Linked DNA regions of Struthio camelus. The protein of the gene in region 1 binds, or shares a complex with, the protein of each later gene. Links are inferred from orthologs where the notes say so. Each region holds a gene or a part of one and is shown in the gene's direction. Other genes may lie near its edges.

Region 1 (3,910 bases):
CCTCACTGCCCGCAGACAGCTTTCAGATTTCAGCCTGTGAAACGGGGACTTCCCGCCTGACCAGACCTGAACGGCTCAGCCTTGGACGGCGGAGGGGGCCGACGGGCTGGCGGCGCCCTCAGCGGGGGCGCGGGCCGAGCTCCCTGCTGCGCCGGCGAGCGCGGCTCCCCGCGCTGCCCCCGGGCGGCGCGACAAGCCGCTGCGGCCGCCTAAGGCGTTGGGGGGGGGGGGGGAAAGAGGGGGAGGAGGCCTCGGTATTTATATTGAGGAAGAATTAAACGTCTCCTATACGTGTGTTTTTGCTGGGAGACCTTTCGAAAGCGCAGGTTCTACTACGCTTGGGACTGGAGTAGCATGGCATTACTTCTCCTCCGCGCTTTGGGTCTTGTTTTTAGGTTTGCAACCCCGGCAGCCGCTTCCGTCGTCCCGTCCGCGGCGAGGGGGAAGCGACCCCTCGCACAGGGCAACTCACGACTCTTGCTAGCACGGGACGAGCGAGCAACGGGAAAGGCGCTTCCAGGGTACACGCTCAAACTGCCGTCAGCAGCAGCCAAGAAACCCGAGGCAGCGCCGCAGGGCAAGGAGAGCTCAGGGCAGGGAAGGTCTCCCTCCTCTCCTCCCCGCCCCGCGCAGGAAGGCGTGAGGGGAACATCTCCCTCAGCCCTCTCCTTAAGGCAAGGGCAAGGGGCGCGGCAGCGACCGCAGGGGGTGGCGCCTGCCCTGACGCAGCTGAACCTGTCTCGTAGGCAGGGCCAGCCCCCGCGGTGCGGCGCGGCTTGGGGAAAAAAGAGGCTCTACGTGTGCGTGGTGCGCGGCGCGGCCGTTAAGCCGCCGGGTCTCGCGTAAGGCAGCCCCGGCCCGAAGGGCTCGGCGACGCCAACCGCTGTAAAGGCCCTGGGCCCAGCGCGAGACCCCGCCCCCTTCCCTTCCTTTGCTCCCCTCCCCCTCGCCCTCTGCCTCAGCACTAGGCGAGACCATCTCACGGCGGGGGGAGGGGGAGGAGAGAGAAGCCTTCCTGCCTCCTAGCGAAGCTTGTTCTTTCCTCGCACAGAAGCAGAAAGGGGACCACTGGAGGGTGGTACGCTCCTCGCCGCGGAGGGCCCCTGAGGGGCTCTTTCTAGGTTGTGCCCGCTTCTCCCCTCTCCCCCTCTCCGCCTCGGCGAATGGGAGAGGCGAGGCGTCGCCCTCGCGCATGCGCCGTGAGCGCAGACGCTCAGTGTCAGAGGGGATGGAGGAGATGGCGGAGCCCGGCGCGGAGCCCGGCGCGGGTCGGCCCGGAGCTGGGGCGGCGGCAGCAGCAGTAGCAGCGACGGCGGGGGGAAGCAGCGAGAGGAGCGACAGCGGCGCGAGAGGGGAGGCCGCGGCTGCGTCGTCACTCTCGTGCTCCTCCTCCGCAGCCGTTGGGGGCGACGGCGGGGAGGCGAAGGCACTGAGCGCGGCGGAGTACGCGCGGCGCGTGCACCAGTGGCTCTGGGACTCCTACTGCGGCTACCTCAGCTGGCAGAGCTGTCTCCCCGCCCTGCTGGCCGCCGCCGGCCCCTCGTACGCCGCGGGCCCCGGCCGCGCGTCCTCGCCGCCGCCGCCTCCTTCCTCCTCCTCCTTCTCTCCTCCTCCTCCTCCGCCGGGGGCAGCCGCCGCTTACTACAGCCCCTTCTACGTCTTCGCTCCGGCGCCAGCCCCCACAGCCACCGCCGGGCCGGGGCCCCGCGCCGCCGCGGCCCCCTCTTGGCAGGGAGCGGCGGGCAGGTTGGCCCCCCTGCCCAGGGCTGCCTCCAGCGGCGCCGTCGGCGCCGGCACCAGCGGCGCCCCCCGCGAGGCGGCGCGGCCGGCAGGTGAGAGGGGCCGCGGGGGTGGAGGGGGGGGGGATCGGGCCTCGCACCTCGCTCTCCGCGCCCTGGGGGGAGGCGGCCGCGTCCCTGCTCAGCCGCCTCCGGTCGCGCACCGGGGTCGGCGACGCCATCCCCGGCGGTAGTGCTGGCTCACGGCTCGCAGCACCTTCTCCCTTCTTCGCTGTTTTGGGCTCCTCCGGCGCAACTCTTGGAGGCGGCATGTCGAGGAGGAAGCGAGGGGTTTTGCAAGGTTGGGGTGCGCTTCTGTGGGCGGCGGACCTGTCATGCGAAAGGTGACAGCTGAAATACTGAGTTTGTAAATCCACAGTTTATTCAGTGAGTAGATTTGAGAGGGTTGACTTGCATTTGCCGCTTATTACTTTGATATTTGTGAAGTGTTTTAATGGATAGGAAGGAATTTTTTTTTTTTTTTTGCAGTAAAACTCATTCTGGTATTGACAGGACCATAGCTGTTCATGAAGTGTCTAGCTTTTTAAATAGTCTGTTTGGATGAAGAAAGCTAAACTAATTTTCTCTGTTTGTTTTAGTGGACTCTTGGTGCTCAAAATCATTTAAATGAAACTGAAGTAGAGAGATTAAAATATGCTTACATGCTAGTGACAGGACCTGAAATAAACAAAAATCTGTTATGACTTAGACAGCTTTAGCAGTGGAATAACCTTGCTTCTGTTTACATTTGTTCGAAAGTAAAACAAACTTTTACTGTGATCTCATCAGAAGGAAAAACTGGAACACAAACATTTCTTGACAAACTCTAAGAGTGCCTAGATGACATTCCGTGAATGTTTGGTAATACCTTGAGTAATGGCAGAACACTGCTAAAGGACTTTGGAAAAAAGCCAGATCTCCTTTCTTTCTCTAGGGCAAACTACAGCATTACTGATCTGTAACATTATTTCTAAGCTCAGTGACTGAATGTGAGGGGAGAAATTTTCTGTTTCTCCTTCATTTTAAAAGGAAGGGAATCTAGCTCCCAAACTTGCTGCTTTGTTGTGGGTTTAGGCAGATGTTGTTTCAGCATGGTTGTAACACAAAGTAGTATTTTTTTTAAATTATGCCCTGATTTATATATTGCTTATGAACAGCTATTACTAGTCACTGGAAAAGATGATGTGGACAAAATCTAGACTGAAATAACTCTTGGATTTTTACCTAATTCTTCAGGAACTAATATCACATGCTAAAGGTAACATAGGGTATGAATAACACTCCGTTCTGCTGAATGTGGCTATTCTCAGTGCTAAATATTGTTGCAACACCCAGACTTCCAAAGGGAATTCTTTGCATGATATAGTGATATGATAGAATTATAAACAAGCACTGTTGTGCCAGTGCTTTGGCTCCCAATTGCATATGGATTTATCTGGAGCAGCTAAAGCGATTACAGCTCCTTCCCTTCTGCTGCAGGTGATTGCTCACTCAGCAGAGTTGGTAGGACAGGACTTATATCCATCCCTAAGCCACTGTGGTTTACAGTCCAGTGTGTGCACGTAAACCGAACTAAGTGACGGTTTATGTTAATATTGCAGATCTTAACTAGGATGCCCAAAAGGGGAATTAAACTGTTTCTTCCTCTTCAATCTGCCTGTGTGTCAGTTCAGTATCAGTAGCACTCCGGGCAGTACCAGGCCTTTGGTGGATTTAGTCATCATTTTTCAAGATGTTTCCTCCCCTCATCCCTCTTGATTTATCCTCCTTGCCTTAGTGTAGGAGATTACTGCTCTTATTCTGGGAACAGCGGAACAAAAAGTGTGTTCAAGCCTCAGCTGCCTTATTTTACTGTCTGGCTGGCTAAGTGCAAACCCATCTTTGTTACTAGGTTAATGTCAGACTTTGAGCTGAGATGGATGCATGTTTCATTCAGCTGTCCCTCCAGTACAAATAGTAACTCCTGACAAAACAGTGGATTTCTGATGCTGGGAGTATATTAAATGGCTGCAATAGAAATCTGCTAGAGTTGAGGGGTTATCAGAGTTTCTTAATGTAATGGAGTTTAACATAATTCGGATGCTGATTTTCATGGTCCCAGACACTTCTTCCTTATCCAGTTATTGTTTCAG
Region 2 (3,910 bases), on another chromosome or scaffold:
AGAGCTAAATTATGTATTTTGGTATATTTATTGCACGCTCTAAGAGCGGAATATTTCATGTTCTTCCAGCATATTTTATGCTGACTTCTTAGCATGAAATACCTGTAGTCTGGCTTCTTGACAGTAAGGTAGTGTTTTAAGAAAATATATACAGTATTGCTATCAATGTTAATTAAGTACAAAAGCATCTAAAACAGAATGCTTTACACTACTTAAGAGGAGCCCTCCTGCCTGAGCTCCTCGCCTGTCTGCTGTCTTGGTTCCCTCTTAGTGCAAATTCTTATTTTTTCTAATTCTGACTCTTGCTGCTGACTTTCAGCCCTGTATCTAAGTAGCCAAAAGGCTGTCCCTTTTGGAATAAGTCAGAAGGGCTGGGTGCAAGCCTTTCCCGGAGTGTCAGTAGTCTTCTGGAGAACAGTCTTGAAAACTATTTTTGCTGTAATAGTTAGCTTTTCGTCAGTTACCGAGGGTAACCGCATACAATGTTACTAAAGGAGAACTGTATTTGTTTTCTAGGTTGGTCCCTGGTCCAGGAAAGCTTAGTAACAGAGTTGTCTGCATTGTAATCCAGAACTGTTCTGTCTTGTCTTTGTTAGGTTTCTTTATATGTGTTTTCAGTCTTTTCATGGTTAGCCTTTTGTTCTTGATGGAGCGCCCAGGTCTGAGTTAGCTTGTGGTGTTTGTTTTTTTTTTCTCTTTTTTTCTTTTTTTTTGAAAGGATAGTATCCAGAGCTGTGAAGCAGCTCCAGGTCTGAAGCTGTTTCTGGTTCAGGCTGGTTTTCTTACTATTCCTTGCTAATGAACGGGTAAACCTTAATGCAGATGAGAGATGAAACATTTTTCAGTGGATCCTGGATGTTACTATCTGCTAGGTGATCTCATGTGTTCTACAGTGTATTTTATTGACACCTTGCTCTGGCAGTACAAGAATTAAGCAAATTTAGCTGAAAATTAAGCAGTAGCAAATTTGGGTGTAGTCTGCTTGCTTTTCAGTTTGTAAGAGGTGAAATTCTTGAACTTTTGCTGTTGGTTAGAGCTTTCAAGAACTGCAAAGGAAGAAGAAGCCAGGAGAACTTCTCACAGTAGATAGAAATTTAAATTATTCTGATGGAATTTAGAATAGCCTCCCTCACAGCGTTTCGAAAGTGCGTAAGTGATGGTTGGATGGTGATGCCAGACTTTGTAAATCGAGGAATTATGTTTCACTTTCAGGATTACCATTAAGCTATTGTGAAAGGGAATTTGGATGGTGTTTCTCCTTCTTCACAGTTAGGCAATTATGTGAGTGGGACTTTCACAAGTATTTTATTTCACTTTTCCCAGCAAGCAGGCGAGAGTAAAGACTTTCTACCTAACTTCATTCTTGAGGTGGCATCCTTGGATTTCTTGTCTGTGATTCTTAGGTTTAATCCTCTTTTCAGTGTAGCTGACTTTTTATTAGGAGTTAGTGCACGATGTGCACGGAGCAAAGTGATGGGACAAGTGATGGAACAAAATTTCCTGAAGGGGAAGGAGAAAGGAGATGCAGAAAATACGGAGAATACTGCATGTTCTGAAATGGAAGACAACTGCAGAGGTAACTACAGCCCATCCTGAATTTTAAGGAGGATGAACACCTGTGTGTCCACATTCACTAGCTCGTTTGAAATGCAAAGGCCTAGGTAAATTCTTCTGACTGGGCATATGTGTTTTCAAATAGTCTAGTATAAAGCATACGGCATCTCCCTGCACTTCCCAATATACCAGTTTTTCTCAAGTCTTATTTTAACCCCTTTGGATAAGTAAGGGAGTAGTCATGTAACACTGCCATGAGGTGTCAGGGTAAAGCTTTTCAGCAGTTGTTCAGAGATACTCAGGATGATCAAATGTTAGGGTGGGTAGGTCTTGTACATCTTGTATTAAAACACTGAAACTCTGTTAATGACATTTATGGTTTTCCTCATATCATTGGTGCCATTAATAATCTAACATCATTTTAATCTCAGTGTTGAGGCATTCTTTTGAGAAAGTCTAACCATGGAACATATTTTCCATAACTTTGTGTTTGTATGGCTCATTTAAATCATTATTCGGCGTGAGTAATTTATCTTGTTTTGGATTATTAACTCATGTGAAGAAGGTGTGATGTGCTGAAAAAGATGAGTTAGCGGAAAGGAGCCCTTCAAGAAATGCTTGTTATTTTTTATGCAGTATGTATAAGTAATTTCTTTCTTTATTTTCCTGTCCCCATTTTTCTGTTTTTCCAGCTGTCAAACGTTTAATGAAAGAAGCTGCAGAATTGAAGGATCCTACAGATCATTACCATGCACAACCTTTGGAGGTTTGTTTCTCCGTATGTTTGCAGGAGCTTGTCATTAGCCTGTGTAATATATATACTCTAAGTTCTCTGTGTGCATATATATTAAAAACTTGTTTGTATTTTTAGATATTAATACACCTTCTTAAAATTAATTCCATTCTTTTGGCATTTTTTCCTAAGATGGAAATCAGTGGTAGAATTCCACATCTAATGGTATTATGGAACCAGGTTCTTAATGAGAGTACGTGATAGTAATGGTTTTACATTGCACCTGAGCAGTTGCATCACATGGGTGTAATGTGTTTATTCTCACCCTCCTGAGGCTCTGAGTCTACATAAATATATTATGTTTTAGTTTTGGGCGTGTAAAGCTCAACTTGATATCTGGTTCAGTTACTGAGTTGCTCAACAAAACACTTGAAACTAGATGAGCTACATGGACTTCCTATTTTGAGTGCAAAAAACTGCATGAAAGACCTTTAAATGAGTACAGGTCTGCCATGGATGCACTGACTTGTAAGAAAGAACACTTGGTTTCCGCCACAGATAGGTACTACTTTGAGGTCCTCTAAACAGTTAGTTAAGTTTCTGAGCTGAGAGAGCAGTGAAATTCTGGTGGCTAGAAGTCTAAAAGGAAACCTATTCTGATTCTGCTAGAATATTAAAAAGGTAATGTCTTGTGATGGTCAATTTTGGGATTTGATTTGACTGTTCGCAGAAATGCGTAGCACACAGCATACTTAGAGCACGGTGCATGTTTCTCGGTACTGTAAAATATACTTTATTATTGACCAGTTTTTGTCTGTATCTTGTTTTCTTCCCGCCCTCTTCTTCCTGAGGTGAAATGCAAGGTTTAATTCATACTGTCAGTCAATAGTAACTTGCATGAAGGTCTTTTTTCAGGGTAAAAACAGTGACTCACTGGGAAGAGAGCAGTGAGAGACAGATAAAAAGACAGGCTGGAAATATTGACGGTTCCCTCTGTCCTTGAAAAAATTTTTAACTAGATGGGCTGTCACAGCCCTGCGATGCTAACATTCAGCATGAGTCATGAGATCTCATTCACTGACAGCAGGCCTCATTGGACTCCTATGATAACAGTAGGAGGTTTTTTTTGTGAGTTGTGGGTGTCAGGAGGTCTGATATGGAAAGCCAAATGCAGAATCCTAAAGAAATAATACTTAAGGAGAAGTTAATTACGTGTCCAATGAAAATGTTCCAAATTTCAAATCATGCCTACTATGCAGTAAGGCAAGATAGCTTTTTCAGAATTCTTCATGGAGAAACAAAAGAGAATGGGAATTCTATAGGGCCAGAGTCAAAGCCCTGTGTTGTGTTGGGCATAGGAGGGGCTTTCAGAGGGGAGACTGTCTTTACATGTTCTCATTTTGGGTGGTTCTGTTCCCAATTCTGTAGAAATTCTTATTCACTGGGGCAAAGACCCAGCTTTCCCTTGTTTGATCCTGAGTTTTCCATCTTTCAGGTAATAAAACTTTTGTCATAATTGGTACAACTCCTGTGAAAAGCTTGCATGATAAACTTGAATTTTCCAACAAAGCCATTTTGTAAGAAAATTACCTGAAGTTACGATATTTCATCCTTTTAATCAGA

What was found.
Region 2: FAM8A1 (region 1) and UBE2J1 share a complex: the UniProt entries of both Homo sapiens proteins name them as parts of the HRD1 complex. The link is inferred for Struthio camelus from reciprocal best matches to the Homo sapiens genes FAM8A1 and UBE2J1.

Annotation. Positions count from the first base shown.
Region 1 is NC_090943.1:99,898,081-99,901,990, forward strand, and holds the start of FAM8A1 (protein FAM8A1), read left to right. Parts: upstream 1-1,078; 5' UTR 1,079-1,192; coding exon 1,193-1,832; intron 1,833-3,910. UniProt on the Homo sapiens protein: Plays a role in the assembly of the HRD1 complex, a complex involved in the ubiquitin-proteasome-dependent process of ER-associated degradation (ERAD).
Region 2 is NC_090944.1:50,095,359-50,099,268, reverse strand, and holds the start of UBE2J1 (ubiquitin-conjugating enzyme E2 J1), read left to right. Parts: upstream 1-1,446; 5' UTR 1,447-1,473; coding exon 1,474-1,576; intron 1,577-2,246; coding exon 2,247-2,320; intron 2,321-3,910. UniProt on the Homo sapiens protein: Catalyzes the covalent attachment of ubiquitin to other proteins. Functions in the selective degradation of misfolded membrane proteins from the endoplasmic reticulum (ERAD) and is essential for cells to recover from ER stress.